Lytechinus pictus: one gene and its partner. The protein of the gene in region 2 purifies or fractionates together with the protein of the main gene of each other region. This does not show direct contact. Links are inferred from orthologs where the notes say so. Each region holds a gene or a part of one and is shown on either strand. Other genes may lie near its edges.

Region 1 (17,399 bases), on a different chromosome or scaffold from region 2:
AGCAATATTGTTAGAATGTATGCTTGGCCAGATCTCGATTTATTGCCCTGTCATTTCGCGAGGCCAAATCATCAATTCTTCAACATCTCTTGCTCAAATTTGGTCTATTATATGCATTTATTTTGGGTTCAGCGATGATTGTTGTAACGTCAGTGGTGATGGGATTGACAATGATTGTGAATATGAGACAGATGCAGATATGTCTGTTAATAAAGAAAGTGAATGTGACCCAGATGTATGTGAGCTAGTTACAGGTGAATCAGGAAATGAGTTCATAATGTACAATGAGAATGTGCAGTATGACTATGAGTATGAGACAGGCGTGTGCGAGCTCCGAGTTAGTCAACTTGCTGAGGAGAGTTGCGCAAGCCTTTGTGATTTTCTGATTGAATCTGATCAAGTCAATGAAGACCTTCTTGGTAACTGCAGTGTGACATTTGGCAGTGTATCCAGCAATATCATAGCAAATATTCCAGGCATTAATGTTGTTGGTTGCTCATCGAAGTCAGATGAGATATTTGACATTCCAGAGTATGTCCATGGTTGTGGACCAATAAGTGTCCCCCATTCTGAGCCTAGATTGACGAGTGCTGACACGCCAGTGAATGACTTTGTTGTTCTTGTTGACTTTTCGGGTGACTTTCTAACCAATCCGGGTTGTGGCTCATCAGAGATAGATGAGGATAATAATGACTGCAACGACGAGTTGCACGGTGAATCTTGTAGCAAGGATGACCTGCAGTCCCATCGTGCCTGTCGCGTCGGCATCGAATGCGCACGTGTATCCAGAAACGTTAATCTCAATCAAGCCTCTAGCAATGATACAAGTTATGCTCATGACAGCCGTCTCGATGATATTAATGCAGTCAGTGACACGTTACCTATATGTTCTCAACCAGACGGATCAGTTTCTCAGTTACATCTGTTGCAGGATGTTGTTCCAGACGCTGTCGTACCAGGGTTTCATCCAGTCCCGAGTGATGAACTGCAAGTTCAAGTGTCTTCATCAGTTGGCCCATCGAGAACCATGGACCCAGTTCACATGGTAAAGACGCTCAGACTGATCCCAACAGATGATGTGAAACATCCTGCTCAAGACATTCCCTCGGACATGGCCACCAGTCCTTCCCAAGTGACTCTCCTTCACGTCCCTAGAGAGAGGGCCCTAGCTCCTCCCAGTCGCCCTCCTGATGCCCCCGCAACAACGACCAGTGCTGACTTATCCCACACCCTCTACAATGATGGCAGTGATCACTCCCGTCTTAAGCTTTCGAGGACAATTCATCCTGTTAGCAGTAGCCGTGAAGCGTCAGTCTCTGCACCGGTCGGTGACTTTCGATCTACTTTGGATGACGCCCCTGTCAGTTGCCCCGATGTCCATGCGCCCCATGGTCGCCCACCGGATGAGTGCTACAGCGGTCTGGCAATCCCAATCATCTCTTTCATCACATTGAAGACCCGGAATTGTTTCCTTAGCCGTCCGCTGGCTAATGTGTCATTGCTCCATCCTGACGCGTTTATGGACAGTCATTCCCACAGACTTGTCGTACCTACCTTGACATTTTTGGCACCTTACGTGATGCAACCTGACCAGATGGTGCCTCCCTTACATTCCAACGTACAAGGTCCTGAATTAGCTCCATTCAAACAGCAGACTGTTTACCTCCCAACACCTCCCCCTGCCCCTCCGTTCCCTTACAGCCCACCCCCGTGTCCCATTCTTGCTGTGTAATTGGCCATTCATCCTCAATCTTTGTGAGTCTTCTGCTGAGCTCATAGGACTATTTCTTGACTATGCTTATTTGGACTCATAACTCTTTTCTTATGTCATTTGTACGCCTTTTGTTTTGAATGATTTGGTTTTTTTACTTTTTTTGTCAGCATTTAAGATGACTTGTGATACACTTGATATTTTCTTGTGCATGCCCCCCCCCCTTTTTTTTTCCGATTGCTGTCCATGTAATGTTCCCATCATTTGTTTTTCTTTGCATAGATTTGGTATGCTTATAAGACAATAAAGGACGTTAGACTGGTATCAATATGATTTTGGTTTTGTAATATGTTCCGATGATTGTTGATGTTTATGACGAATGTGATATTTTTATCATTGCCCGCTGTTTATCATTATGTAATACTGCATTTTTTAATGTCAATCAGGTTATTGAAACTATTTGTGATTGCAAATCATATCAAGTCATGTTACTTTTAACGCTTGTTGCCTTATATGATGTTTCAATAGTCTGTCGCCGTCATTTGAAGAATAACTTATTGGGTTTTGTATGATATTATTTGGATATTTGTCTTTAAGCTTAGTTTGAAGCTCAATTTTTTAGTGTTTTATTATTCATGCACTTGGGACAAATACTTTACACATACCTTATGCATGCTTTATGCATTTTCCTTTGAATTGTTATATTTATGAACGGCATATGGATAATATATGTAAACGTGTTTTTGCTATTGCTCTTTAACGATATTTGTTTGTATGCTCCTTTACAGGGATGCTAAAATCATTTTCTTTTTAATTTCTTGGTATATTTTTTTGATTAGTTCATAGAATAGTGGCAATGGTTTTAAGCACTGTCAGTTTGAGTCAAAATGTTTAAGTATTTTCATATAGCTTACATATGTACGAAAAAGTTTTGTATCTTGAAGAGTCACAATGTTTAGTATTTTCATGTAGCTTACGTATACCCAGAAAATTAGAGACAAAGGAGTTAATATGGCAGAAAGAGTTACAAAACGTTAAATGTATACAATATAAGGCTGTCGGAAGATTGTGTGTTGTTGTGTGGTAAGGGAGCCATGCCTTTAATTTGTGTTTAAATTTGGACTACTTTTGACTACTTTGCGCAGAGAAAAGTTAGCATACTATGTGATTGCCCTTTTGAGTCTGTTTCATTATTAATGACTATATGCGCAGAGAAAAATTAACATGTTGTATTACTGTTTTAATTCAGTTGAATTTGAACTAATATTGGTGAATGTATATTAACAGAAAATGAAACAAGCTGCGCAATTGCTTTATGTTGAACTAATATTGATGAGGGTATATATACAGAAAATGAGACAAGCTGCGCAATTGCTTTATTTATTTGTTTATTATTATTATTATTATTATTATACTACATGCTTGAACAGGTTTAGTAAAAAAGATTTTGTTATTTACATGTATTTCGTTGATTGCATCAAATGTGTACAGCATGCATATTGTTATTTTCATGTGAAGAGAATTCTTGGTAAATGTATTTCTTGGATTGTCACACATATATAGAGATATGTAACTTGTTAGTGAAAAGGTGCAAAGATAGCGGTGTAAAAACTTCTACTGTTTGGAATCGAAGTCGACCAAGGCTTTAACTTAATCGTTTTCAACAGAATTTAGAAATGTTAATTGTGATGTTTTGGATTGTGTTATAAGTACATTGTTTCAGTTTTGCTTTTTGCTAGAGGTTTAAAGTTGGAGTTATGTACCATTTATGATTGTACACTGTAATCTATAGTAATTATAACTCAAGATCGAAGGTAGAATACCTCAGGTATAATTAAGTTTCCTACTACTATATGCATGTGTTTGTTAATTTAGGAATTATGATTTATCGATCAGTGAGGGGAAAAGGAAAAATGGATCACGCCAATATATGTAATTTTATAGTCGGCTATGTTCAGCCTTGGTTCCAATAAATGATAGAATGACTTTACGCAAACTTATCTGATGTGTTAAATTCCTCTGCTTTGGCGAAGTGTATTTTATACAGGAAATCTGCAAAAACCATGGACTCAACCGTGGGTTTTCAAAACCACCTTTGTGAATTCGGGCCTGTATGTTTCATTTCATCCAACATTTTTATCACTCCTGAAATCAGAAGTAAAATAAAAGTGTAAATTTTCTAATGGTGGTGGCAATGGCAAAAGCAGCATCGTCAATATCATATCTTAAGCAAGGTTAAGCTTTTAAAATGTCATCACAAAGTGTAATGACCTATTTCATGAAATTTGAACACAAGGTTATTCAAGGGTCACTGGTCATTTAAATTACATTCAAGGTTAGATTAAGGTCAAGGTCTTTTGGCTATTTGTATTCAGCTCTCTTGTATAAAGCTACAAAAGAGATGTTATTACATCTTCACAACATAATATGTAAGAGCTTGATAATGGGATTTCTGTTAATACATATCCACTACACAAAAATCCATGACATTCTAAAACTCACCTCTTCTTTCAGTTCTTGTAACCTGGCTTCAAAATCATAGTCCTTTTTCTTTTCTTCCACTTTTTTCTTGTTCATCTCAAACCGCTTTTTGACTTGATCTAAAGATGACCTCTCGACATTCATTGACATTCCTAAATTTCTTTGATCTGTACAGAATGAAAGGAAATTATTATAGGAGTTTAATTACATGTATCAATACAATTAATTCAATACCACTTTACATACATACCAGTATCATATATCATTTATTTCATAATAAATTAAACTTCAGTTCATGAGGATGGGTTGATAATTTGAAACTTTAAATTGTTCTCATCTGGGATCTTTAATTTTGTTTACTTGCACTAGATTTCATCATTAATGCTTTTAAATCTGGCAAGTATTGTTCATATAAACATATAGATCAGTTGGCACCATATAGACTACAAAGATCAATTGACTTACGTTTTTTGCCATTTATGTGATCCAGGAAGTTGATGGAGTCTTTAACAACACAATCACAAACATCACAGTAGTATCCGCCCATCTGAGAGGAAGGAGTTGTCTTGGTGATGACCTGGGACTTCCCCAGCTTTGAGTCAAGGTCAACCTTGTAATCACGCTGCTTGAGAAGCTCACGCTTGACAACAGGCTCTTTTCTCCTCCTCTCTGAAACATTATGAAGAATGATAGAAACATTTGATTTCATTATTTTTAAGTACAGGATTCCTTATGTTTAGACCAGGGGTTCGCTTCATAAAAGTTGTTATGAAAATGAATATGTAAACAGTTAAAAGCTACTGAAATCGTTCAATTTGATTGGCTGATAGTAAACTTGCTTATGATACAAATTATGCATTTGTAACTAGTCTTTGTTAAACAGTACCCAGCAGATGCTGTATGACTGACACCAAATGGACAAACCCAAGGGGGCTACCCTTGCACAAAATAAAAACCTTTTTGAAAATATTCTTTGGGTTATTTTGTCAGTCATCTACTCACTTGTCAGAGATTTCTGGGACAAAATTTAGAAAGAGTTTTGATTGATCGGAATCAAACTAAAACCGACAAAGAGATTGATCTCATTATGGAATTGTACATTCTTTCAAAATATCAACTTGAGTTCAATTCAGATTAACTTCAACCCTCAGTAGGAGACGGGCGGTGTGTGCCCTTTATAAAATCACACCATCATGATGAGGTTGTGAAAAGTGGGCATCAGGCCCTACATAAGAAGTTGAATTACAATAAATTCTACATACTCTCACAAGGTGTAAATTCAACACCACAAACACAAATTTAAATTAAATGGTGACTATGTTACCTTTCTCAGCCTGAGCTTCAAGCTCCTGATCCAAACGTTCCTTAGCAAGCTTCTCATACTCATCTCGGTCCCACTTTCTCCTGTGGTCCTCAACTCGCTAAAATATAGGAAGGCATTAGTAAGCATAGTTATTTTTCCTTGAAGAGTAAACTGCCCAGAAATCAACGTGTTAAGCTTTTTGCAATCATTTTTGTTCTAAAATGTCTTTTCACAAAATGAAATTTGCATCATTGTTTGTTAATTATATTTGTCTATTTTTAATTGCAATGTTTATCTTCTCTATTCTCAATATTTAGTAAAATCTTGAAATGTAACACCATGACTGACAATCTAACACTGATTCTAGGGAGGGTACCTACTGAACTTACTTTTTCCAAATTGGAAAGATATATCACCACTATGGAACCATATTTTTACTGGCGGAAGAATTAGGGTCATTTCACTCTCTCAAGTGATGAATTTGGTCCCGGCAGGTGTAGTCTTCATAAATGCCGATTTATTTTTTAAATGAGCCGGTCGAGGTACCCTTTTCTGGTCAGATATGGAATGTCAGACATTTATCCTATCCACTGGTAGTAAACATTCAACCCTCGAATTTCCTCCTTATTTTTTATGAATTCTTTTTAAGTGCCACTTTAACACACGAGTCTATGGGAAATGAAATAGGCCTGTGAGCCCTATAGCAAGACTATAGGCCTATTACAAGGGGAATCCCGTAGTGGATGAAACACCAGCCCAAACTCTTCAGTAGCAAATTATTTTCAATTAGTATGCATATTTTTAGCCATCAAGAGGTCCAAAAACTGAACTTAATGGTCATGTGCAAGGCTACAGAGGTGGTATATCAGGTAACAAATTGTGATTAGTAGATCATCTGTGTTTGTATACCGAGGCTAGGCTGTTTTGTAGGCTAACCTTAGTCTCTGCGTTGCATGTTTTCGTGTGTTCTTGTATACCAACGAGCACTGCTGTATTCGTGTATAGCACCCATTTCAGGATACTAAACATTAGATAGGCTTTGATCAATTGCAATTGTGAAATTGCTTCATGGGAAAGGGATGGAGAACAGAGAACTTTAGAATTTGACTGAATAGTGGTGGATTCAAGAGGGAGGGGGGGGGATAGAGAAAAGCATGGTAAGTATGTCTGGGGGGGGGGTGCTGAGAATGAGTGCTACTGCTATCTTGTTCTAACTTTTATTTATTTCTAGCCAGACTAGTCCCCATTCCTTTAGAATACAAGCCATCTAACACCCCTCTCTCCCTCTGTCTCTCTTACACCCCTTGTCATAGGAAGATGTGAATGTATAGTATGCTTGTATGTTAATTCTCATTTCTTTTTATTGTTACATGTATCTCATTTAACTCATGTGAATCTGGTATTTATAATTGTGGGCAGTTCTTGTATCCAGATATGCACACTATGCACATCTACAATTTTGTATTATAGGATGTTGGGCCCTACGTTGCATCCATTGTTGAGCTATATATAGGCAGGTAGGATGTGTGTAAATCCATAGGACACTAGACATTAGGAGTAACATTAAAATTGGTCATTACATAACACATCTGTATATTTCATGCATTTCTTTTTGATAAAGTGAGTGTATAGATGCTTAAGAAAAGCCAGGAAGGTAAATTAAAAAAAAAACTTAATGTGCCATATAATACAGGTCGCACGGACCTAATCACAACTGGCAGGCCATAGATATTCATTCGAGCCAACCCATTGCTCAATTTTTTAATTTGATATTGCTGATTGACAACAAGTGGAATGCCTCTGGCCGTCTCACCTGCATCACGCGATTCAATATAGCAGCAGTGCTGATTTTGAAAACTACTATAACTTGCACAAGATGTTCAGTGATACTTGGTTACTCGTATTTCCACGTTTTATGAACTAGACCAAATACACTTATAGAGATATGATGGCAATTCAACAAATACCCCCAACGTGGCCAAAGTTCTTTGATCTTACATGACCTTTGACCTTGATCATGTGACCTGAAACTCGCACAGGATGTTCAGTGATACTTGATTACTCTTATGTCCAAGTTTTATGAACTAGACCAGCACACTTTCAAATTTATGGCTGTAATTCAACAAATACCCCAATTTGGCCAAAGTTCATTGACCCTAAATGACCTTTGACCTTGATCATGTGACCTGAAACTTGCACAGGATGTTCAGTAATACTTGATTACTATTATGTCCAAGTTTCATGAATCAGATCCATAAAATTTCAAAGTTATGATGGTAATTCAACAGATACCCCCAATTCGGCCAAAGTTCATTGACCCTAAATGACCTTTGACCTTGGTCATGTGACGTGAAACTCATGCAGGATGTTCAGTGATACTTGATTAACCTTATGTATAAGTTTCATGAACTAGGTCCATATATTTTCTAAGTTATGATGACATTTCAAAAACTTAACCTTAGGTTAAGATTTTGATGTTGATTCCCCCAACATGGTCTAAGTTCATTGACCCTAAATGACCTTTGACCTTGGTCATGTGACATGAAACTCAGGCAGGATGTTCAGTAATACTTGATTAACCTTATGGCCAAGTTTCATGAACTAGGTCCATATACTTTCTAAGTTATGCTGTCATTTCAAAAACTTAACCTCAGGTTAAGATTTGGTGTTGACGCCGCTGCCGCCGCCGTCGGAAAAGCGGCGCCTATAGTCTCACTCTGCTATGCAGGTGAGACAAAAATGAATGAATATGACTGACAATCTAACACTGATTCTAGGGAGGGTACCTACTGAACTTAGTCGCGAAACTGGCCCCGTCCAATTCGCTTTTCCCAGCATTCGCGAGTGTGTGGGGCTCGGATGACGGCTATTAGTATACTCGTTATCGAGGCCCCTTACACTGTTATATCATGGAAAGTAACGTGGTTGTGGGACTTGTTTCCCCGGCCGGTGAGAATTATCATGGGCGGCGCTAGGGGGGGGGGGGAGGGCCTCCAATTTATTTTCCAAATAAACAAGGAGAGAGAATAAATATGTGTATGTATTTATACTTCTCCAGAAATTCATTTGTCGATTTACTTATATATTAATAAAGTTATTAATTTTTATTTATTTATTTATCAATCTATTTCTATTGATTAATTAATGTATTTTATTCATCATTTAATTTATTTGTTTTCAGTTTTTTTTTCTTTTGTGATATAGAGAGTCAGAGGTATCATTTTTTTCTATCTATTTTAATTGATTAATTAATCATTTAATTTATTTGTTTTCAGTTTTGTTTTCTTTTGTAATATAGAGAGTAAGAGGTATCATTCGTTTTTAATTCTTTTTATGTGTGGAAGTTCACTTATTTCAATCTATTGTAATTGATTAATTAATGTATTTACATTTATATATAATGTATTTATATTTATTCATTAATCATTTAATTTATTTGTTTTCATTTTTTTGTCTTTTGTGATATAGAGAGTCAGAGGTATCATTCGTTTCTAATTATTTTTATGTGTGGAGGTTGAATACTAGTGCCGATGGATTGAATACTAGTGCCAAAAACCATCGCCGTATAATTCGATCACCCGCTCACACAGTCGACGGGTTGAAGAAAAAAATAACGGAAAAAGAATAACCAGCATTTGCTCTTGGAAATAAGATGGGTCTGAAATTCAGGTTTATTCTATATTTCTATATATTTGAGGAAACTCTCTAAACGGGTTGAATACTAGTGCCCTTACGGTATACTAATAGCCGTCATCCGAGCCCCACACACGTGCGAATGCTGGAAAAAGCGCATTGGACGGGGCCAGTTTCGCGACTATCTTAGGATGCAAGCTTAATAATATACTTGTGATATAGGCCCCGCTACTGTGTTGGAGTGTCTGAAGTGCCGTAGTGCGGGGCCTATATAACGGTTATAGTATATACTCGTGAAACAGGCCCCGCGAACGGACATTCTGAGCCATTCAACACAGCAGCGGGGCCTATCACGAGTATATATAGTGAGCTGAAGTTAGCAACCTAGATATTGAGGTATGATCGATTACAAATTTTTCTCGAGCGAGGCCTATATCACGATTTTGCCGTAAAATGTCATAAATTGGGCATAATCGTGATATAGTCCCCAAATCCCAAAATGGGGATTATTAGAATCACACCTACCAGAACGCATGAAAATATGTGGAGGTCGTGTACACCCAAGCAAAACATCGCCGGCGAACTCGATAAGTCATGTGACCGCCGCCATTTTGCTAGGTCAATTGTTCGAGAACGCGCCGTAGAAGGCAAGATGCAATATGTTTTCTCTATGTATTTCTAGTTCAGTGGTTGAAGCGGGACATTTTAGCACTTTTTAATCTAGCACCGCTCATGATTTTGCCGCCCTCTATACGCGTCACGTAACTAGGTTTCATTAACAAAGGATCAAAGATGGCGATGTCAACAAGCGTAAGTAAACTCTCTTCTACTTTTATTACTTCATATAATTTATTCGTCATTTTGTAACCATTACTATCCATTTTTTGCCAAACGCACTCACACGTATTGCGAGGTTAGTATTAGTATACTAACCTCGCACCACGAACCGCGTTTGGCAGTGGATTTCTAACTAGTGGGTCGCGCGTGCTGGGATCTCACTTCTTGGGTCCACAACACACGACTTCTATGGCTTGAATTTTCTGTGCGCGGCGGCATGTAATGAACCCTTGGGTGTGCCAAACGTTGCCAACCAATATTGTTACCCATGACCACCCATGGGTTCATATCATCTCGCGTGCGAAGGAATATCAGTCATATGCACGTGACACACACGACAAGTCAAAAAGATAGTGGGCTTTTGCCCACATAAAATATCACCAATAATCTGGTATTTCACATTCTGCTATGACACTTACCGAATCATTTAGATCCTTCCGTGACTTCTCCTTGAAGTTTTTTCTTAAAAATATGTATATTTTCTTGATCTTTAGTGAAGATTTCACGGAGATAAAATTTGGTCAATTTTCGCCTAAAGAGGGCGCGCGATTTATATTATATCAAAGACACGACAAGGGAAAGATTAGGAACCTACACTATTTTACACGCAAATCGACGCAAGGCATTACGCGAAGTCCGTGAAGTGTCCAATCTTTTCATTGTATAGACTTTGGTATACCGTGACGTTCGTTAATACTGCTTGTACTGCTGGTTTCGTTCCAGGCATGTGTATTTAAAAAAAAAAAATTATATTAGTCATCGTTTTAAATTAATTGCAACAAAAGTGTTATCATCGCCAATAGTAATCCTGAATTATGTTTTTGAAGGTATTTTATTTATTGGTGCCCATAATTAGTAAATTAATCATAAGAATTGCGCATTCAAAGAATTTAGACACAGTTATAAAATTACCGAGGAGCTGAATCAAGGTTGTGAAATTTATGAGCGCCACCAACGGGCTTCCTTGTATTTCCGTAGAAGAGACAAACGAAGTCACTTGCTTGGCCGAGGTAAGCGAAATTTGCTCTTTTTAAATGAAATGAGTTAAATATCATATGTATAATTTTGTTTTGTATTGCTACTTACCGGAAAGAGTTTGTCTGATGTGATAATTATGTATATTATAACATATTTAAAAAAATACAGGGGGGACCTGATTTCGTGGGGGTGCTCTCTGGGTTAGAGTGAACCATGACATGTACAGCAGTCATCTGGTCGTGACCACTCTAAGCACCAAGGCTATTAATTCCTGTGTTAAAAAAGTGAGTGCACGCGAATTAAATGTTGGACTTAAATTACTAGATCTTACCATGGAGCTCCATGACGAAATCTGTTCTTAAATTAGACTCTAGATATTACTAAATTGAAAAAATGTATAAATAGTACTCGCCTGGTCTTTTCTTGGGGTATTGAAGCCTTTTTGTCCAGAACTTGCTCAACTTTTGCGGCAAATTTTGTTGCCATAGGGTTGTGCACATTCTCGTTTAATACTGGTTGTCACGTGACACGGCAATGTCGTTAGGCTGTTTGGCCTGTATTCAAGGCGTTCTATCCGTTATGATTTTATATTGAATGAAGCTAATTCCATCAGGTATAGGCCCCTATCAAGTCAAAATCGATACAGGGATCGAGAGGGGGGGGGGGTGGAGCCAAAAATTTCCAAGTCACATGGTATGAAAATGATATTTTTTATGATTGTCCACGATCATAAGGGCAAACCCGTGTGTGGCAGTACGGTAGCGTGATGAGTAAAAAAAAAATAAAATAAAAGAAAGAAAGAGGGCCAATGTAGGCATACATGGCGCGTGGGAATAAAGTTGCTTTATATGTTCCAAGCGAGTGAAGCAAGCGAGAAAAAAACTTTTCGTGCAAATCTAAATTTGAGATAGATATCTTAACTTACACTTTTCCTTTTCTTTTCATTAATTCCCTTCATTTCTTTTTTATCTTGGTTGTAGAACTTTTGGGGGCCCCTAGGCCTAACCCTTCCATCGTGTACCCCCAGTGCAATATCAGCAGGTGGGTCTCGATAACTCTGGATATTTAGCAATTAGACCTATTTATAGAAAAACATAACGTTAATGTTTTGACCCCTTCCCCCCCAAAAAAAGGAAAGACAATTATAAACTAAGTTATATACATCCCCCTTTTCTCATTTCGCTTTTTATTTTCTCTATTCCCTCCTTATTTTTTTTTGGGGGGAGGGACCTTTTCGGGGGGCACCGCCCCTAGCTACGCGCCTACCAGATGAAGAGGCGAGCGAGCAAAACCTTTGTCACTTTTATTACAAATATCAATTTTGCAATAGATTTTGACATAACATTCGGAATTATTCTCGCATGCATTTTTCTTTCCTTTTGCTTTTTTATGGCCTTTTATTTCTCTTCCCTTTCTCTTTCTGTCTTTCTTTCTTTCTTTCTTTCTTTCTTTCTTTCTTTCTTTTCCTTCCTTCATTCCTTTTCTCTTATCCCGTTTTTTTTTTGGTGAAATCCACTGGACCGGGGATCAAGGGCCAGCCTGCATGCCCCTGGCGGTTTACGCCTCTGCCGTGGATGTAAGCTATATATACGCATGATCTTAATCTTCATTATGATTCAAACTATATAGAGGCGCATCCAAGATTTTCCAAATTAAGTAGGGGGGGGGCGGGGTGAATTTTCTCAAGTAAAATTTGACAACTCCCAAAAAAGGTTCTTACTAAAAAAAAAAAAACCGGTCATTATATTGTCTCGCGTAAAGTTTGACAAGTTAAAAAAAAATGGTCACTCAAAATGAAAGTCATTTTGTCCGCGTAATATTCGGCAAGCCCCCCCCCCCCCCACAAAAATAAGAAAAGGGAAAGTCATTTTGTCCACGTAATATTTGGCAACCCCCCCCCCAAAAAAAAAAAAAAAAAAAAAAAAAAAAAAAAAGGTTTTAACTATAGCAATGATCGAAGGTCATTTTGTCTCGCGTAAAATTTGACAATTTTTTTATAAAGTTGTCACTAAAAAGAAGGTCATTTTTTCCACCATTGATTATATTTGGCAAGCCCCCAACCCCCACCCCCATAAAAAAAAGTTTGTCCCTAAAAGTGATGTATACATGTAGAAAGTCATATTGTTAATTTGTTCCCAGTAAAATTTTGAATTTGGCAATTAAAAAAAAAGGCAAAAAAGAGAAAAGAATATGAACGAAATATCCCCATTACAAATAATGCTGTACGTGATTCTCATGAGGGGGGGGGGGCACATAACTAGTATTAATAACATATTTAATTCCAAAATGTTTACTATAAATCTCAAAAGGGGGAACGGGCAGAAATGCTCACCCCAACCCCCCCCCCCCCCCCCCCCGCCACTGATTCCAATCAATAATGACTTTTCTCTGCAATACTGATGCTTTGAAATCAAGATACTGAAGATTGATACGCTTAACATAAATTATGAACGTCTGACAAAAAGATAACCAACCGATCACCTGACCGATCAGCTGACCAGTACGCGTATCACTTCGGAGTTGATCACTCGTCGCAGCTGTGTGGAACGCTCACCGAAAATCAACAAAAAGGGCCTGAAATGTAAGTTTAACAATAATCGATTTTAATTTCAACTATTTTTACAACTAAATAAAGGTTTGCCGTCCGAATGAAAGGTATATCGGATAACTCTAACTTGTATTAAGGTGTACATTTACCAAAGTCTTGGGTTGGAAATCAGAACAGCATTGTCCAACCCATAATTTGGGTAATGTCGCCTATGAGGTCCATACATGTTAATGTTTGGACCTCATTGGTACTAGGAGTGGTCGTGACCTCAGATTCTAAACATAACTAGCAGTTTGGCGCATTTTTATAGTTGCCTTTTCCCTCGGTACGTAGGAGTAAGCTTGTAACCGATTTTGCAATTGGCAACCGATTCCATTCGATTTCACCACAATCGGCAATCACTTGCCGATCTTCGATCATGCCCCTTGAAGGAAAAAATCGAAAATAAAAAATTGGCGTAGATCTGGTTACAGTGCGTGATCGCTCAGAACATATTTCAAGATTGTTTTTGAGGTGCTAGCTATTTAGAGGTCGCATTATTCAGGGAGAAAGACGCGGTATTATCTATGGCGATGTTTAAGAGGATAGATATCTTCTCTTCCAACTCATGGTGATAGCGGATGCCGCCGTGAACTTTGAAAGGTCGTATTACCGACGGAGCTCACTGCGTTACTCTCTTACATCGTTTATGATTATATACATTTTATTTTCAACCTCGTGGTGATAGCGGATGCCGCCGTGAACTTTGAAAGGTCGTATTACCGACGGAGCTCACTGCGCTACTCTCTTACCCCCTTTATAATGATATAAATCTTCTCTTCAACCTCGTGGTGATATCGGACCCCGCCATAAACTTTTAAAGACTGTACTATTGACGGAGCTTATTGCGTTACTCTCTTACATCGTTTATGATGATATACATTTTATTTTCAACCTCGTGATGAGAGCGGACCCCGCCGTGAACTTTTAAAGATTGTGCTACTGACGGAGCTCATTGCGTTACTCTCTTACATCGTTTATAATGATATAAATCTTCTCTTCAACCTCGTGGTGATAGCGGACCCCGCCATAAACTTTTAAAGACTGTACTATTGACGGAGCTTATCGAGTTACTCTCTTACATCGTTTATGATGATATACATTTTATTTTCAACCTCGTGGTGATAGCGGATGCCGTGGTGAACTTTGAAAGGTCGTATTACCGACGGAGCTCACTGCGCTACTCTCTTACCCCCTTTATGATGATAGACATCTTCTCTTCAACCTCGTGGTGATAGCGGACCCCGCCGTGAACTTCAAATTGATTTGAAAACGCTAGCTACCCAAAACATTTTAATAACATATTTCAAATCATCGTGCGTGCTTGCGTCTTCTACTTCATTTTAATTGCACTTGCGACTTTAAGATGATGCGTCGTAAGAGATCATTCCAATAATTCTAAATCGCTAGCACCTAAAAATACTTCTAAAAGATGTCCCGCCGATCGTTCATTAACCTGTGATCTATGAGAAATATTTTCATTTTATTTTCCTTTGCGCCTTTGCTCGGAAGATGCGTCTTTCGTTTATCTTTCTAATAAAAATCACTCGGTTTATTTTAAAGCAATAACACCTCAAAACCCCTGGCTTAACATGTTCCAAACGATCGCGCATGTTGGCGACTTCCATTCCAATGCATTCGTCTTTGTGACTTTGTCAGGAAGATGCGCGCGACCGCAAACAACATTTTGATGTATTCCTTTGTTTTTAAACATCGCCGATTCGATTTTCGATTCGATTTCTATTTTAGAAGCTTAACTGCCGATCCGATTTTCGATCTGATTTTTGATCCGATTTACAACATTACGTAGGAGCCTATACATCACAATGCCAGGCGTTAGGGGAGTGACCATACGTACAGTATATTACTTTCACTCCCCAGTCCCAGACGCCTCCAGGCTATGTCAGACTGGGTTACGTATTGAGGAGTTCAACATACCGGTACACAGAATTCGGCGAGTGGGACAACGTTCCAGTTTACAAACAAAGCCTGGCGATAACTTCGCCAATCAAAAAACCACGCAAGTCGTCTACGACCGAGAATTAGAGCATATAACGATGACTTACGAAAGGTTTCATACATGACGATATAGCTATAATCATATGATATATTCAAAGAAATGTATACTTACCGAACCCGAGCTTGTTCCAGCGTAATTCATCGCCATAGTTCACAATTATTTCGGCGAAATGAAAATGAAACATTTATTTCCAATTCCCAGCCCTTACGGTATATACGGTATCCGAGAAAATCGAAAGAAATATAAAAGTAATGACAAATTGATCTACATGTATATCGTCTTTGACCAGGGACGTGAGAGGTCAAAAAGGTTATTATGTTAATCATTTGTCTTAAACCAGTTCATATTTATGAGGGAAACTTGGAGCACTTGTCCCTGAAAAGTTGCTTGAGCCTTGACCGAGAAAATAGCACTGGGAAAACTTGAATATTATCGGCCTATTATAAATCAGGGGCCGCAGAACGGTTTTCAAAGTGGGGGGGGGGGGGGGGGCTGAGCCAAAAGTGGGGGGGCTGACCATGCTAAAAATCACAATCATATGGTCATTTTTAAATTTTTGTACATGGTTTTGGAAAAAAGTGGGGGGGCTGAAGCCCCCCCGGTTCCGCGGCCCCTGTAAATATTACGTAATTGTTTTCCGGATTAAAAATTTAAAGAATTCCCACGAGGCAAAAGACAAGGTTTGTCCACATCAAAATTATTTTTTGTATATCTGCCTTATCGTAGAAACCTTGCTTTCAGTTTCAAAACATGCCCCAATAGCAAGGCTTCACACTCTTTTTCTTGGTGGCCCAATCAGTCCACCAAACTCACCGCAAAGCAAGTTTGATGGCCCTAAATATATAGAGAACATTGCAATTTATAAAAACTTTGGTAGCTTGACGGGAACACACAGTGTGGGCTTCTACTGAAGTTTGGTAGCCCGGCTCTCAATTTAGATTGCCCCGGGCAACCGGGCCACTGCTCATGTCAAGCCCTGCGAACGTGCAGATATTTTTGACATGCATGTGGTTAAAGTGACTACAGCTAGTGCTTGCTTGGGTGTATGTATTTCAATTTAAAGGGGAAAATCACCCTGATGTAAAAATATTAGAAATACAAAAACTGGTGGTTTGAGAAAAATCCATCAAAGATTGGGAATATGTTATTAGAATTTTAAATTTTGTGACATCATATATGAGCAGCTGCCCCATATGTTGTGTAATATACAATGTGTGAATTTCAATTTTTTAATGGTACATGATAATTTAAACCTTTCTTGGTTCATGATAGATACACATCATTTAAATGAAGTGTCGTTAAAGATATTAAATTGTGCGTTGCCCCCCCCCCCCGGATTAAAGACTAATTTTTCAGCTAATCAAAACCAAAGAAAGTTGACAAAACTGACATTCTGTCAGAAATTGAATGTTGATAAAATGCCCCCCCCCCCCCATATTGTATGAATCAACATAATTATAGGCCTATTCTGTTATCAACTTTATATATTTTTACATCAAATATATAGAAAACAGTGGTTTATATTTTTGCATATGCATTTCAAACCAAACCAAGCATCTTAGCAAACAATATAACACCCATATACAATCAACATACTAGTACTTCACATACAGCAAAGCAAACTAAAAATCCACAAAATCAAATTCTTATACATATTTTTTATTATTGGTATGTAATTTCACTCATGCTGTATCAGTATGGTGAAATCACAACATATTGAATGATTTGACATAAAATGTTCATTATGTACTCTGAGAGAACTAGGAACTATTAGACCATAAATGATTGTCCCCAAGCAAGAGTCTGCAATATTTCTTCATTCTTACTGATCTTCATGCTTGGGTTGAGG
Region 2 (16,912 bases):
TCATTGACATCTGACCTTGATCATGTGACCTAAAACTTGTCAGTGATACTTGATTACCCCTATATCCACATTTTATACACTATATCTATAAACTTTGAAAGTTATGACAGCAATCTAATGATTACTTCTAAAATGGCCAAAGTTCAATGACCTTTGACAATGGTCATGTGACTTGAAACTCTGACGGGATCTACAAAGATACTTGATTACTCTTATGTCCAAGTTTCATGAATAAGATCCATAAACTTTCAAAGTTATGATGGTAATTCAACAGATACCCCCATATTGCCAAAGTTCATTGACCTTTGACGTTGGTCATGTGACCTGAAATTCGCAAAGGATGTTCAGTGATACTTGATTACTCTTATGTCCAAGTTTGATGAACTAGACCAATAAACATTCAAAGTTATGATGGTAATTCAACAAATACCCCCAATTTGGCCAAAGTTCATTGACCCTAAATGACCTTTGACCTTGGTCATGTGACCTGAAACTCAGGCAGGATGTTCAGTAATACTTGATTAACCTTATGGCCAAGTTTCATGAACTAAGCCCATATACTTTCTAAGTTATGATGACATTTCAAAAACTTAACCTTAGGTTAAGATTTTGATGCTGATTCCCCAACATGGTTTAAGTTCATTGACCTTAATGACCTTTGACCTTGATCATGTGACCTGAAACTCAAGCAGGATGTTCAGTATTACTTGATCAACCTTATGGCCAAGTTTCATGAACTACGTCCCTATACTTTCTAAGTTATGCTGTCATTTCAAAAACTTAACCTTCAGTTAAGATTTGGTGTTGACGCCGCCGCCGCAGTATTTGCAGGTTTGGCATCAATACCTCCAATTCAAGTGAAATAATAATAAAATTAGAAGTATGTGGATCTAAGTGGCGTGATCAAATTCATTAGGGTACATACATTTTCTGCACCAAAGTGATTATCTAGTTACAGTGACACCCTTTATATTTATCGTAACAACGGTTGATAATCTTGGGTTAACATCTAAAGGGGGTATTTGCATTCCCCCTTAACCCCCTCCCAAAAAAATAATTGGACTGAAGAGGTTGCATCTGGAAGGAAGGCGAGATACGTCATTTCGTCAATTTGACTTGATCAATAGTTTTATGTCTATATGGCGAAATACATCATCTCGCCAAGTCGACTTCTGAAACAGGTACACCGAAATGGTGAGAAAGATTATCTTGTCATGTTGAGCCATAAAAATAGATGGCAAGATTTTATATCCACAGCGTGCCGCACCATATCCAGTTGGAAACGAGTTAAGGCCGCAGTGTAGCTGGCTAAAGAGCAACATTCGCACACACTATTTGACTACACACCATGAGACTACTGACCTGTTTGGCAAGTTCAGGTGCAATGGCTTCCACCAAGTTTGTCATTAGGGGTAACATCTTATCATGATGTCTGCTTCCGGGTTTACTCGTCTCGTTGTAGAACTGCGCTAACCAATGACTGTAGGCCTTCAGGGCAGCTAAAGCTTGCGCATGTCTGCAGTTAATGAAACAAGTTCAGGATGTAAAGCGAATGTATTTCATGACACCATGATTCGATTTTTGACTAATTTTTAATCTTATAATTTATTCCATTATTCAGGTATGCCGATTGAGAGAGCCTGAAGATCAGAGTAGTATTTATCATCCATATTTTTGCAAGAAACAATACCAGTACGAGTCCAGCCTCCCTATAGTGACCACCTCTTTGTAGCAGCCACCTGTCTATAGCAACAACCTGCCGATAGTGACCACTAAAACCGATTCCCATGGAGAAAGATAGTGTTGGTATTAAAGAATTTGTCCAAGAAAATGTCTATAGTAAACACTAAAACTGGTAGATTGTGTGTATAAGAACCAGTCTAGCAATCACCTTTCTCTTAAGGACACATATTGATATTTTTTTGGGTGGTCATTCACAGGATGTTTGCTATATGCTTCATTTGACTAACATACAATCTCATCAAATCAAATGAAAACACTACTCATACAGGTTAAATCTTAAGTGTGCCATAATGCTATTCACTCATGGAATGGATACTTTAATTGTTTATGGGGAAGTATTTTGTGAAATTATCAGTGCCCCTACTTTAAAGAAGGTCCTGCAGTCCCTATTTTTAACGCATGATTTATTTTTATTATATGGTTTTATAACAATTATGTTAATGTTATCTTATATTGTAAAGTTACTTTTTTTGTTAAGCACTAATAATTATAATAATAAAAATAGTTATAGTGCTTCATACATTGTATTTTTAAGCACTTTACATTGTAATAATTAGTGGCCACTTGCCTATAGTGACCATCTCTCTAAAGCACTACGATACAAATGTTAAAAGTGTAAAACTACGAGCATTGTTTTCATCATCATTAAATACATTATTTACTCTATCTAGATACTCACGTTTCTACAAAGTCTGGCTTGAGTACTGTTGGTGCTGCATTCTTCATTCTGTATAGCTTCATATTGGTGCCATACACTGCTGCTTGACATAACCTACAGGAATAACAAGCAAAGAAAGAGATCATGTAGCTGCTACAGTAGATGCATCACTAGTTCCTGTCTTACAAACTTATGTTATTGATCCAATCAACCACAACTGTGGAAAGCCAGCAACGTCAATATCTATTACGCATGTTTGTTCAAAATATTTTCTAGATATGTCAAGTCACACATTCATTTTTTTCTTGAAAATTTGGAGTGCTTTTATTTGCTTTCAAAGGAAGTTGCGCAAAATTCCTGTAAAAAAGAATCATGACATTGATGGATTTCCATAGAGTTGAGATTGATTAGATCAATCGTAACTTTTTGTAAGATGAGACCCTGATCAACCACAACTATGGAAAGCCAGCAATACCAACATCTAAAGTGCATGTTCGTTCAATTCTTTTTCTTGATATGGGCTCTGTAAACAAAGGTTTGCAATCACTCGCTAAATACCAATGACCAATCAAGATGATGGTTGCACGCGCACTCTGTTTAAAATACTGACCGGGAGCCAATCAGTGCGGTTTTTTCATATTTGCAATTCATCGAAAACCTTTGTGCTACGGAGCTATGATGTATACTCGGACATCATTCATTGTTGTCTTGACAATTCAGTGTGCTCCTCTTTGTTTACAAAGGACATGGTGCAAATTTCCTGTAGGAAAAATTCATTAATTATGAAAGATTTCCATAAAGTTGAGGTTGACTGGATCAATCAGAAAATACAGGTGAATTATTTGTAATCAAAATATTATACTATGCATATGCCATTATAACTATGCCTGATACAACTGGCATTTCTGTGGTTCCAACGTCAGCTTTCAGAGGGGATTCGAGAAAATTTGGATACAAATTACACCAGGTAGAACAAGTTATATGAAAAGAAGACATCATGTAATCAATGCCACTGGAAAACCCCTTATGGTAGAGTCATTATCTCACTGTCCCTTGCTTGATAGTTGACTGAGAGGAATTAAGGCTTGGCGAAGAATTTCTCGCTGGTACACAGAGTTTGCTGTCCCCCAGTGATGTCTCTGTTATAGGTATTTCCAAAGGTTTCACAAAGTCTGGGGTCAGCAAATACTAATCCACTCCCCATGAAACCCATTGCCCTTGGTAACCACCTAAGTTTGGTGTTTTGCAGGCATGGTTGGATGTATGATCCCACTTTTGACCAATCAGATGACTGAATTAGTCAACCTTCTAAGATACGTTTATAATAATCAAAAGGGAGATTTCGCAACAGCTACACAGACGCTTACTGGAACACAAAGAGAATTTATTGTCAACTGCCCTACATGATAATGAAATCTTTGTCAAGGGTTGGTGAATTGAAACAACACTTTCATTCGTGACTCTGCACAAACAACACATTAGCAATTTTTTGTCAGCTCCGAAACGTTGGACAAAAATGCTGTTGCTATTTACCAATCTTCGACAAAGACCTCCCAGGTTTTCATTGTGATTTAGCTGGCATTTTCATTTGCTGCATGCTAGGATTGATTCTGCATCGCAGTGTGAACTCTCCCTAATAAAACCATCTGAACCTCACCTTTCTATTAATGAGAGGGCGTTATCGAACCTCTCTGTGAACTTGTCTCCTATGAAGTGCTCTGCTAATCTTCCTAATGCTTGGAACATGGAACAAAGGTCTCGCAGAGTACAATGTAATCTCCTACACTCGTTCTCCTGGTTGACATTCAACCTTTGACCTGAAAGGTTTTACAGACAGAGGGAGAGAGAGAAAAAGAGAGGCACAGAGAGGGAGAGAAATAGGGAGAAGAAAGCAAGAGAGATGGAGGGAGGGTGGGAGATAAAAACATTATCTTTATCCTTTTACTAGGCCTGAGTCAAAACATTTAACCAACATTTAAACAACCGATAAAACAAAAAAAATCAACAAAGTTTGCTAAACATTTAAAAATTTTGGGAAACAGTGACCAAAAAATATGTTAAAACTGACCAACCATCCCCTTAATTCATATCATACTGGTTTGAAATGAATTAAGGATGTATATTTCACAAGTAAATATTTCTAATTTGAATGGAAAATGAAGTGAAACAATGTAATATTTCTGTCCAAAAAGACAGGAGATTCAAAGTTTAGATCTAACATCTACAAATTTACCAATCTGAGCATGTGGGGACAAAAAAAGTCACATGGTTTGGTCTTTGGGTCGTTCTGCTTACATCCTCTCATGAAAATGCGGATAAATTTGATTACCTGTCAATATTTCCCTACTTTGTGTAAGTTCACATTGAACGAATAGATATCAGACACCACGGCCCATATATATAGAACAACATACCCAATCATATTAAACTCACTGCATCTGTCTTTTCTTCCAAAGCTTCATTGAAAAAATACCTTTTATCCAGATATTCATAAATCTCTCACCTGCACTTGCACCCACTTCATTTTTCAATTTCTACTTTTTTTCCCGTTCTTTGATGATTCGTGACATTGAATTTTTTTCTTACAGACACAATCAATTTCTAAGGTTTCCATGGTAGCCTTCCCATTTTTGGCTGCTATGCTTCAAGCATACATTTTTTCTATATTGTATTTATGTCTTTCTCCAGTCCTTATATATAAGATTGTCACTTGTTTATGTACTTTATGCTATCTTATGATTATGTCTCACGCATTGTAAAATTTTTTTTTGTATATTATTCCAATAAATGCAGAAAATCCTGCAAAAAAGATTTCATGATATACTCAAGAGTCGTACAGAAGATTCATGAGCAGCTGGGAGGTCTTTGTCAAAAATTTGTGAAACAGAACACCAGTTTCGTCCTAAGTTTCAGATCAGACAAAAAAATTATGAATTTGTCGTTTGTCCAGAATCAAGGATGAAACTGCTGTCTTGATCCACCAACATTCAACAAAGTCTTCTTTGCTGTTGTCATGATTGGCATATGACAATGCACTTCTCTGTTCTTGACTTCTCTGTACGTCGCTGAGAGAAAAACCCCTACCCCTCACATGCAAAGAACTTCAAGATTGAGGGGGGGGGGGTGGTGGAAAAGAGGAGACAGAGAAGATTGAACTTACCCTCTGGGATATCAACCACATACTGTCTGAGACCCAGGTACACAGTCAGATATTCTTGGAATGGTGGGTACTTGATAGAAAGAAAAAAAATATATATATATTTTTCATTTATTATTTATTTATTTTATATTAATTTTTTATTTATTATTTTTCATTTTTACTTGAAATACTAACTACATGAGTTAATCTTTCTTAGTATATGTAGACCCCCCCAAAAAACAACCGAATTCGCAAAGTTAAAAAAGCACATTTCATAAAGTGACGATATTCATAATCACAAACACTAAGCGGTAACCTAGATGGCTCAGAGAGTCTATCCTTCAGACATATGAACGGTTACGAGGTAATCTCCTTTTCTCACAAGTACTTTGCCGTTCGCTTATGTACTAGGATTTTGTCGACATCATTATCAACCCACTACACCATTGATTTCATACATACTGATAGTGAATTTACAGTCAAACCTGCACTACCAACCACATGTCTATTAAGTCAACAATTTTGGTTTTCCTTAAATGATTTCTGGCACTGAAGCACGTATTACAGGAATCCATCCCATAGAGACCACCTGCTCACAAAAACCACATTTGCTTCCCTAGGACGGTCTTTATAGACAGGTATGGCCGTATCTTCTCCTTCATTATTCAAACAAACATTCCTCTTTCACTTACCACTAAACTAAACGCCTCTGTAGGTAAGAGTTCAGCAATCTTAGCAATGACCTCCAAGCCTTGTCTGAGGTAGCACTGCCATTCCGTCTCACACTGTCAATCAAAGCAAATATCTTATTATCTCTTTGACCAAGTCTGACATTTTCCATTAAAACATTGCATTTGCATTTTTAGGGTCTGCATTAAAAAAGTGACCCCGATTTTTGCATTTTATGGTTGGTTGGATGAGGTCAACCAGGCAATTTATTTTTTTAAATAATCAAAACACTCATAACATCATTAGGAAAATATGCTATCTGTCTTTATATTAGGAAGAATATCAAAGTTTCTGAGGAAAAGAAATCTTTACTTTTAAAAGTGCCATGAAATCGTAAGCTTTCAATTCTGCTGCCAATAATTAGCCTATCATTTAGAAGACAAATTCCTCAGTGCTTTCAATTCCATTGAAATTGCTAAACATACATTAGTCATAAGATTTCGAAGGCTACACACCGATAATATAAAGTAATATAATAGCATACAAACTTGTTTTCTGCTGGTATACTAAAGAGTCAATATCACTATTTTTGTCGGTACATATCTTCTAATGGAAACTTACGTCATCATAAACGTTATCATCATCTAGTTCCTCGAGCTGTGCCTGGTTGTATCTAAACTGTAACTTGTGCAGTATTTCAGACATCACAGATATTAATGCATCTTTGTATCTAAACAAGGAATGGACGCAATAGCAATTGGTTAAAACTGGTATAAAATTGGTTTGGTGCCATGTTTCACAAAAGGTTAATATCATATCTTTCAAACTTACAGGGCACTTTTGTTTCATTTATTTTGCCTTTCCAAAAAATATGAAATCAAAATGGTTACAGTTGGAAAGAAATGAGATAAAAAATATGTTTTGGCCATTCAAAGAAAAATTGGTGTCAAAGAAACCCCTGTATCTTGTTTTTTTTAACTTAACCTCAAAACTTCAAATTTTGACAGTACAAAGAAGAATTATTCTTCTTTTTGAAGACTAAATTCCTTTTTTTTTTGGTGCTATTTTCAGAGAACCTTCCCTATCGACTTAATGTTGATTGGGGGTGGCAGGTCGCAATTGGACGAGTAATGATATTTCTACATTTCCCATACAACAAATAGACTGATTCAAAATCTCAATCTGGGGCCGGTTTCATAAAACATATAATAATAATATCCTATTTGCAATAATAGTTAAAAATACTGAAATCCTTCGATCTGATTGGCAAATTCGTTACAGAAACTGTTCACTTCTTATTATAACAAGGATTTATGAAACAGGGACCCTGTTGATATTGCATCATTCATTAGCTGGATAAATCAATTAACTGACTGACCTGTCTACAAAGTGGTTCATTTCAGGGTTTCTTGATGAGTTGGTCTTGTCGATGAGATAGTCCAGGAATATGGTCCAGATGTCTAAACAAGAATAGTAACCTTCTGGCTCCGGCTGAAAAGAAAATTGCAACAGAGAATTAGTACTGCACACTTGGCTTTTGTTTAGTTGGGTGAACTATACAATTTTCTTCAGGGGCTATTCTACTACTACGATCAGAAAACCCCATCCTAGTTTATTTACATGTCTGTGAAAACTGACCTTAGAAATATTGTTCACAACTTTCATGTAGTTTTCCCCATTCTATATCCACGTCATATCTGGTTGGTTTTATCATTTTAAGGCAAATTGCAATTTTATTTTAAACTTTAGTACTCTGCCTTTACTTGTCTATTTTTTGGTTCCTTATTTTCTTTTTGTTTAAATTGCATATAATGATTATTTGATTTGTTCAATAAAACATACAAATATATATGAAAAAATATATATTTGAGTGGTCCCATGTTAATATTTCTGTGTAGTGTGCATAAGCATGTCTCTTTGTCAATTTGAGAAAATATCTCAACACTGTTTCAGCAATGGTAGAGAACATCAGGGGCCCATAACACAAAGCTTAGCAATCAATCGTAGATGAATATCTGTACGATTGATCGCATTGACTACAATGTAAAATCAATCGTAAAAATCAATCCTAGGATAAATCACTAACCTTTGTGTTACGGGACCGAGGTCTTTGAGAATATGTGATATGAATGCTGCTTACCTGCTTGAATGTGTACTTGAAGAGGAGGGATAGGAACTCAAGCACTGGAAAATGGGAGTTGCTCTCAAACCGGCGGAGGTGAACACTGACAAATAAACCTAAAAACTCTGTGAATTTCTCTACATAACTGCACATTGGGAAGAGTGATGGAGAAAATGCAGGTGGGCTTGCATTAATATTGCTGCAGGAGCTAACATTCTGAGATGTAGAATAATGTAACAGTGTTTATCCTTTTTTCCTACATAATTCATCAAATGACAATGATTTCATACATAAACACAAGATTAATATCCACAAGAAATGTTGATGGAACAACATTTCCCTATCAAAATCAATCATAATTATCCCTACTGTTTCTCTTCAAATGATTAACATTCAACAAAGTTACTACTATAACATCAATAATTTCTACGTTGGACAAAGACAACAATAATGGATGAATCAGTACAAGGAACATATGACACATGAGATGTACACACTGTGTGCAGTTCTCCCGTTGGTGAAGAACGTCCTTCTTCACTCACCTTTCATCTAACTCTTCTAACCTATTCCCTACTGATTGGTTTGTATTGTCTTTGGTTAATTTTTGCAGCAGCTGGAAAGTCTGTTGGAACATTCTCAAGAGGTAATCCTCAAAGTCTGTGGGCACACAGTTCTTGGACATGATCTCGTTGATGCAGGACATGGCCAGGACGCCCAGCGAGGAGCTCCCGCTCGCGCTGAAGCTGTCGTTGGCCCGCACGGGCGACGTGCCGCGGCTGACCGACTGGATGTCGCAGCCGAAGTTGGCGAAGTGGAAGATGACGGTGATGAGACTGGGGGTGATGTTGCCGGATAGTGGCATCCATGAGAAGAAATGAAGGAGACAGTTAAGACACAATGTGCTGAGATGCTCGCTCTCCTGGTCCAGAGGAGGGAGGGGTTGGACGTTGTGTTTGTTGGGAGGTGACGACTTGAACATGCTACGGATGATGTGGCTCCCTGCAACATGAAAATACAAAAGAGCAAAATATTCAAGTTAAAAAAAACAAAGTTGTAAATGGATATGATCAAACAATTCCATGTAACTCAAATGAATGGGTACATAAACTTTCCATACACCAAACTACATTTATTTCATGAATATTTTATGAATCTATCAGGCTATACACCCAAACGCACACTCCGATCAGCAAATGACAAGACTCAATTAGTCAAACCTAGATTCCTCTTCACACTCATCGCCCAATGCTTTGGAAGAGCAGCGCCCAATATTTGGAACATATCAAAATATATTTGTGAAATAGCCAGTACCCCTACTTTCAAGAAGCTCCTCAAGTCCTGTCCCTTTAATGCATGAATTATTGTATGGTTTATAATTATGTTAATTCTATCTATTATTGTGTTCAATGTAACTGTTTTAAAATCCCTATGGTACAAATGTGAATAGTGTTTCTTAAAATATGACTATTATTATAATATTAATGTGTTTCTGCAGGTGTAGTATGTAAACCAATATTAATCATTACATATACATATAAGCCTAGCAATCATAATTTCATCTCACAACCATCACAAGCACACTGCTTTTAAAGGAACAAATTCTTCCTCTCTTTATCATCAAGACTGAATTCAACCATGACCCCACAATTTTTTCTTTTTTTTAACATACAAAGATTTTTCATACATTTTATGAAAAATCAAATAGTGTGATATGTAAATTACAGGGAATAATTTCTTCTGGTTGGAAAAGATAAGCTTTCAAATCTGTTCTGTACATTCATTCATAAAAAATTGCTACACAAAGGAAATTTTGTGTAGCAGTCATAAAAAAAATGTGGAGCAAATTGTCATGTGATACCATGAAAAATGTTCCCTGAATTATGAATCAGTGAAAGAATATCTAAATGCTGACATTTAGTTTTAATGAATTACACTAATATACTGCGGCAAATCATTAACCTACCACTCTTGACCCAGAAGAGGGGGAAATGGAAAACGGGAAGGACTTCACAACAAATAACAGTTTCTCTCATGTTTTTAACTTGCTTAAAATGTAGATTTTTTTCTCATATTCAATGGAACCTTAAACTCTAAAAAGTGTATTATAATTCAGGAAGTGACTCATTCTTTAAAAGAGTATAGGTGAGGGGTGGCTGCTTCAGGCATGTGACCAAAATCATACTGCTTCCGGCACATGACCAATTCATACTCTTTCATTCAAAGTGTAGATTAAACCACAGGCCCAATGGCTTTAGCCATGTATCATTTATTTCAATAGTCATTATTCAGTATTGAATATCCGACCCAAATAATAAACAATAAATAAAACATTTAAATATAAAACAAGTGGAATGCCTCTGGCCGTCTCACCTGCATCACGCGATTCAATATAGCAGCAGTGCTGATTTTGAAAACTACTATAACTCGCACAAGACGTTCAGTGATACTTGGTTACTCTTATTTCCATGTTTTATGAACTAGACCAATACACTAATAGAGATATGATGGCAATTCAACAAATACCCCCAACGTGGCCAAAGTTCTTTGACCTTACATGACCTTTGACCTTGATCATGTGACCTGAAACTCGCACAGGATGTTCAGTGATACTTGATTACTATTATGTCCAAGTTTTATGAACTAGACCAACACACTTTCAAATTTATGGCTGTAATTCAACAAATACCCCAATTTGGCCAAAGTTCATTGACCCTAAATGACCTTTGACCTTGATCATGTGACCTGAAACTTGCACAGGATGTTCAGTAATACTTGATTACTATTATGTCCAAGTTTCATGAATCAGATCCATAAACTTTCAAAGTTATGATGGTAATTCAACAGATACCCCCAATTCGGCCAAAGTTCATTGACCCTAAATGACCTTTGACCTTGGTCATGTGATGTGAAACTCATGCAGGATGTTCAGTGATACTTGATTAACCTTATGTATAAGTTTCATGAACTAGGTCCATATATTTTCTAAGTCATGATGACATTTCAAAAACTTAACCTTAGGTTAAGATTTTGATGTTGATTCCCCCAACATGGTCTAAGTTCATTGACCCTAAATGACCTTTGACCTTGGTCATGTGACAGGAAACTCAGGCAGGATGTTCAGCAATACTTGATTAAGCTTATGGCCAAGTTTCATGAACTAGGTCCATATACTTTCTAAGTTATGCTGTCATTTCAAAAACTTAACCTCAGGTTAAGATTTGGTGTTGACGCCGCCGCCACCGTCGCCGCCGCCGCCGCCGTCGGAAAAGCGGCGCCTATAGTCTCACTCTGCTATGCAGGTGAGACAAAAAAACATATATCATAATATATATTGTCTATTCCAAATAATAAAGGGTATATCACTTTTGAATCATCCACAGGTAAATGGTGCTGTAAAACCTATCGCCACAATCATCACAAAACCACCATTACCATCATCATCATTACCACCAATACAATATATTGTAAATGTCATTATCATCACTATTGTCAACATTCTTATTTCTGTTGTTGTGAATGCTGTCCACATCATCGTCATCATCACCAGCATCACCATACCCATCATCATCATCCTAATCATCAGCACCACCACCACCATCACCATCATCATCATTACCATCATCATAATCATCATCATAGTCATCATCATCATCATCATAATCATCAGCACCACCACCACCACCATCACCATCATCATCACCATCACCATCATAATCATCATCATAGTCATCATCATCATCATCATCATCATCGCCATCACCATCATCACCATCATCATCACCATCATAATCATCATCATAGTCATCATCATCATCATCGCCATCACCATCATCACCTCCATCATCACCACCACCATCATCATCACATCAACACCGCCACCATCATCATCATCATCACCACCACCACCACCACCACCAGTATAATAATCATTGATATACACATTTCTCATGGCCTAGTGGGGTGTTGCAAGCAATCAATTGCAAAACTATTTGTGGTCCCCAAATCAATCACACATGTCCTGTGGTTGATTGCAAATGGGCCATTCCGGTTAAGACTTGGACAAAGGGGTCGAAAAATAAAGTACTCGCTCGGCTTGGTTTTTCATGTGTTTTAGATAGGCCAACACATCGGTAAACTGGTTCAGATAAGGAAAAGATAAGCTGGCATGTCTATTTCACAATATCACCTGATTTCTAAAAATGTTGGGACGTTACTCTTCCCGAGTGGACATGCATAAAAATGAATAAATAAGGAAAATTTTCGTTGTTTTTACGCATAAAGTCGATCATAGAAGAAACTCGGAGGTGATCGAAGCACTAGTTTGCGCTGCCAAGCTCAGTAGCAAGCGCAATCTTCGATACGCCGGTATGTTGGGACGTTACTCTAAGCGATATCGAAATAAATTGCATAATTCCAAAATATGACTTGAAAGTGCCTTTAAATGACAAACATCTCTGATATTTGATGAAATACCAGTAAATAAAAGACAGAAACATCGAGTTTTGTGCAGCAATTCTTCGCTGTGGCAAAGACAATTCGCGTGTCCCAAGTTGAGACGTTACGGTGCTAATGAAGGAACAAATTTTCAAAAAATAAGAAAAGGAAATTTTCTCGGCTTTTCAAACGATGTGACTGTTTCAACGCAAATTAATGACACGGTAACATTACGGGGGGGGGGGGGAGAATTGATAATCATAAAATTGAAAAAGATAAATTCTAACGAAAGAACTAAAAGTAACTAATGAAATATAATGTATAGAATAAACAAATAAATTTGATTGAAAATAGGAACAATATCAAAATAACGTGGTTACATCCATGCAATCAATTTGTTTTTAATGGCTGATGTATAGCACTTTTCAACTTTTGGAAAAGCGCCTGATAAGAATTATTTTTATTTTAATTTTTTTATCATTATTAGGTTGTGAATGTTTTGATTGATTGATGCTGTGATGAAATTATGGAAAAGAGAATAATAAAAGGAAAAAAGTCTCGCGTGATGTGTCTTTTTTTTAAATAACAATTTCGTGATGAAATCCTTGAATGAAATTGGAGAAGAAAATAATAAAAGGTAAAAAGTCTCGCCTGATGTGTCTTAAAAAAAATAATTTTGTGTCTTGTATCGTTTATAATTGCATCCTTTGACAGAATTTCTGCCCTCAATGAACCATCTTTTTTATTGCATAGGCCTATAATGCCGAATATTCATGCTACAATGAGTTGTCAATATCAATTCAGCATTTATTTCAAATTCATTAAAAGTACTGGGTGATAAAATAATCATCAGACAAAGATCGAGAATATAACAATGAGAATAAAAATCTAATAAATTTAAACAAAAGTGATATTATTTGTTGGCACATATTTTATACAAATTGAAAGATAATTGATAGGAAATCGGGGATGCAATAAAAAGGCAGAAAGCTTGTCAAAATGATTTCACATCATTCTTGTCATTACGACCATTAATCGGATCTCCATTGTGCAAAATTGTTACCTTCATTGTCATTATCATCATCATCACCATCAATCATCATTATCATCACCATCATCATCTCATCGAACTTCCGAAAGTTTTTTAAATGTTTTTTGGGGGGAGGGGGTTATTTTGACGTTTAAAAAAAGGTGTTTAAAACGTCTAAAACCTACCACATTTTGACGTCCATAAAATGTTTACACAAAACGTCCAAAAACCAACTTGAATAGTTTTAGAACATTAAAAAATATCAATTTTGTTGGGAAGTCATCAGTTTGAGCCCCTTGTCATATCCGGATCCGCCGCATGGTACATTCAGGAACAAATGAAACCGTATAAAATATCTTTTTAGGTAGCGAACCATTAAAATATGTTTATTCAATACATTTGTTTCAGAATCCAAAATAAAATAAAATAAAATACATTTGATTAAAGCAAGATTATAATTTTATTGTCAAAAGAGAAGAAAATGGAATTCTGTCACAATTCGAATTACAACATTGGCCACACAACATTGACATAATTTGGGCACCTAAATCCAAACCGCCGCTGATACCAGGGGTCCCAGAACGGGGGGGGGGGGGGGGGGGGGGGGGCGGGCGCTGGTATGGCTTTATCCCATCAGAAAAAAACATCTGATTTTGATTTTTTTTTGCATGGTCGACCCCCCCCCCGACTTTCATCCCGTTTCGCAGCCCTCGATGTCAAAAAATTTAGCCGCCACTTTCCAAAAATCCTGGATTTTATATGAGACATTGTGGAATATTAAAAAGAATGAATAACGTCTTAAAAGGACACTTGTCACATCGTGCATCGCTTGATACTGTATGCCTAAATTAAAATTTTTTTTCAACTCTTGAATACTAGTTTATTGCGAGGTAAAACAAATGAAAATAAAGACAATTTCAAGCATTATTAAAATTATATATGCGACACATTTTTGGCAATGTCCATCGTCAAAGTCGTAACGTCTAATTTGTAGTTTTTATATCTTTCGATTGTTTTTTTTTATTCTAGAACAGAAAATCAAAGTTGCTTGAAAGCACTATTTCATGAATTCATGTGAATAAAACAACCACCTAAATCTAAAGAATCACCAGCAACAAATTATGGTGTAAAAGTCGTGCGAAGTTACGGAAGACATTGTCTTTTAAAAACGTCTGAAGTAAAGAGAGCAGCCATAAACATCACGTACGGTGATCACTTTATAAACGTAAAGCCTGATTGTGATTTAAACGTTTTTTCTGAGAACGATTAGAAGATTTTGATATGTTTTTGAAATAAATATAAAACTAAATACGGTAAAATACATAATTGTTACGAGGACGTTATTGCGGACATTTAATTCTACAGTGTCGTCATGGAGATCATAACGTCTAGTCTGTTCTAGTGCCTTTTGGGCAATTCCATGGTAACGGAATTACAAATCAGAGAATTTTGGCTGTTATTTTTTCTCACAGCATCCAGATATCTCAATATTTTCCCATTTTCTAAACTTAATACTATGCATGGCCACTTGTGCTATATTCTGAACCAAGATTTTTAGAAAACCCCTCACACGTTCAGATGTGAATGACGGATATGTGCTATGGTAACGGAATTACCAGAGAAATGAGTCACTTTGCAACCCAAAGTTTAGTAAAAGTTTCTCTGAAATCTACAACACACTAGCTCCAAGCTAATGTCTGATTCAATTTATTATAATGTCAACTTTATTTTGAAAGTAATTTATTCACAAATATTATCAACAAATTTTCGTGATTGGTCTTTCTTTTGGGGAAGTACATGGTAACGGAATTTTACACATAATGGTAACGGAATTACGCCTCTGACATTTGAGAAGGAAAATGTTATTTTTAGGCATTTATGACTGAAGAAATGCCTCAATAAAGCTTGTTTATATATTCTTCTCTGATACTTAACACAAACTAAGTACTTTACGTCTATAATATCAAATAAAATACAAGTATATAGTATGTAATAAGTGGCTCTACCATAAATAAACAGAATTTTACAAAATATTAGGGATCAGTGGTAATTAAATTTTAGTACATTTTCAACTTCAGGGGTATTAGGACTTACTAGCCAATTTTTGCCTCCTGTACTGATGAAAAGAATTATGCAAAGGCCAAAAATCATCACTAATACTCATGGTGGCAAAAAGAAGCTGCTGAAAACTGCTTATATCTAATAAAAGAGAGCCAATGGAGTAAATTATAAAGTCAAAAAGGGGGCCTAAGCTTTCGATCCTAGCAGAATCTTCGTCGGAGGCAAAATGACAAACATATAAAGTGGAACAACCATAATATAGACCACAAACAAGCTACAGCAACACTAGAAACAAGGAGACAAAAGGGGCATTAGTGAGTAGAGAAGACCAATCAGGTTAGTGAAGGGGATGAAAGAAAAGGAGTAGGCAGACACAAAGGGAAGTTAGTATAAGTAAGGCCAAGAGGGATTAAGATAATGAGGCAGGCAACATCAAACAGGATCTGGAACAAAACAGCGATAGAGGGATGAATAACTAGAGAATTAGTGAGAGGTGGGTCAAACAGGTTACAAAGAAAGGCTTAATAAACTGGTGCATAAGAGTGGGGGAAAAAAAAAGAAGAAAAAGAATGGGGAACAACTGATAATGTGCAAAAGACATATAAGTATATATGATAAAGCATTAAACAAACTAAGAGAAGAAGGTAAGTGTAAATATGTATCTATAAGTGATATATATAAATATATCCAAAAAAGAAATGTATATGAAAAAATATATAAATATATACACATATGGTGTAACTGATATGGTAATCCGCTAGGTGTGACGGGAAAAAACATAAGACTATATAGCAGGAAAGAAAAAAACCTGTATATGTGAAAAAGAGGAAGCAAATTGCCTAAAAAGGTAAAAGCAAATATAGAAGAGAGGGGGTGTATTATGAAGAAACCATAGTATACATGTAAATAAGCAAATGTGGTAAATCTAAAAGAGGTGAGTGGAGAAAAAACAAATATATATATATATATATAATAATTATTATATCGCCTGAATAAGGAAGGAAAAATTGGAGCTGAGCTTGTATGAGATATGGGAGGAAAGTAGAGTAAGAAACT

What was found.
Region 1: the proteins of exportin-6-like (region 2) and zinc finger matrin-type protein 2-like purify together in Homo sapiens (co-immunoprecipitation; 3 studies listed by BioGRID and IntAct, with this or other methods). This does not show direct contact. The link is inferred for Lytechinus pictus from reciprocal best matches to the Homo sapiens genes XPO6 and ZMAT2.

What each region holds. Positions count from the first base shown.
Region 1 is NW_026974140.1:2,205,797-2,223,195, forward strand, and holds the start of zinc finger matrin-type protein 2-like, read right to left. Parts: upstream 8,264-17,399; 5' UTR 5,517-8,263; intron 4,862-5,516; 5' UTR 4,740-4,861; coding exon 4,658-4,739; intron 4,360-4,657; coding exon 4,214-4,359; intron 1-4,213. UniProt on the Homo sapiens protein: Involved in pre-mRNA splicing as a component of the spliceosome.
Region 2 is NC_087254.1:15,839,881-15,856,792, reverse strand, and holds the start of exportin-6-like, read right to left. Parts: upstream 9,329-16,912; 5' UTR 9,311-9,328; coding exon 8,874-9,310; intron 8,477-8,873; coding exon 8,350-8,476; intron 7,701-8,349; coding exon 7,588-7,700; intron 6,940-7,587; coding exon 6,831-6,939; intron 6,326-6,830; coding exon 6,233-6,325; intron 5,632-6,232; coding exon 5,562-5,631; intron 4,219-5,561; coding exon 4,059-4,218; intron 2,516-4,058; coding exon 2,423-2,515; intron 1,517-2,422; coding exon 1,363-1,516; intron 1-1,362. UniProt on the Homo sapiens protein: Mediates the nuclear export of actin and profilin-actin complexes in somatic cells.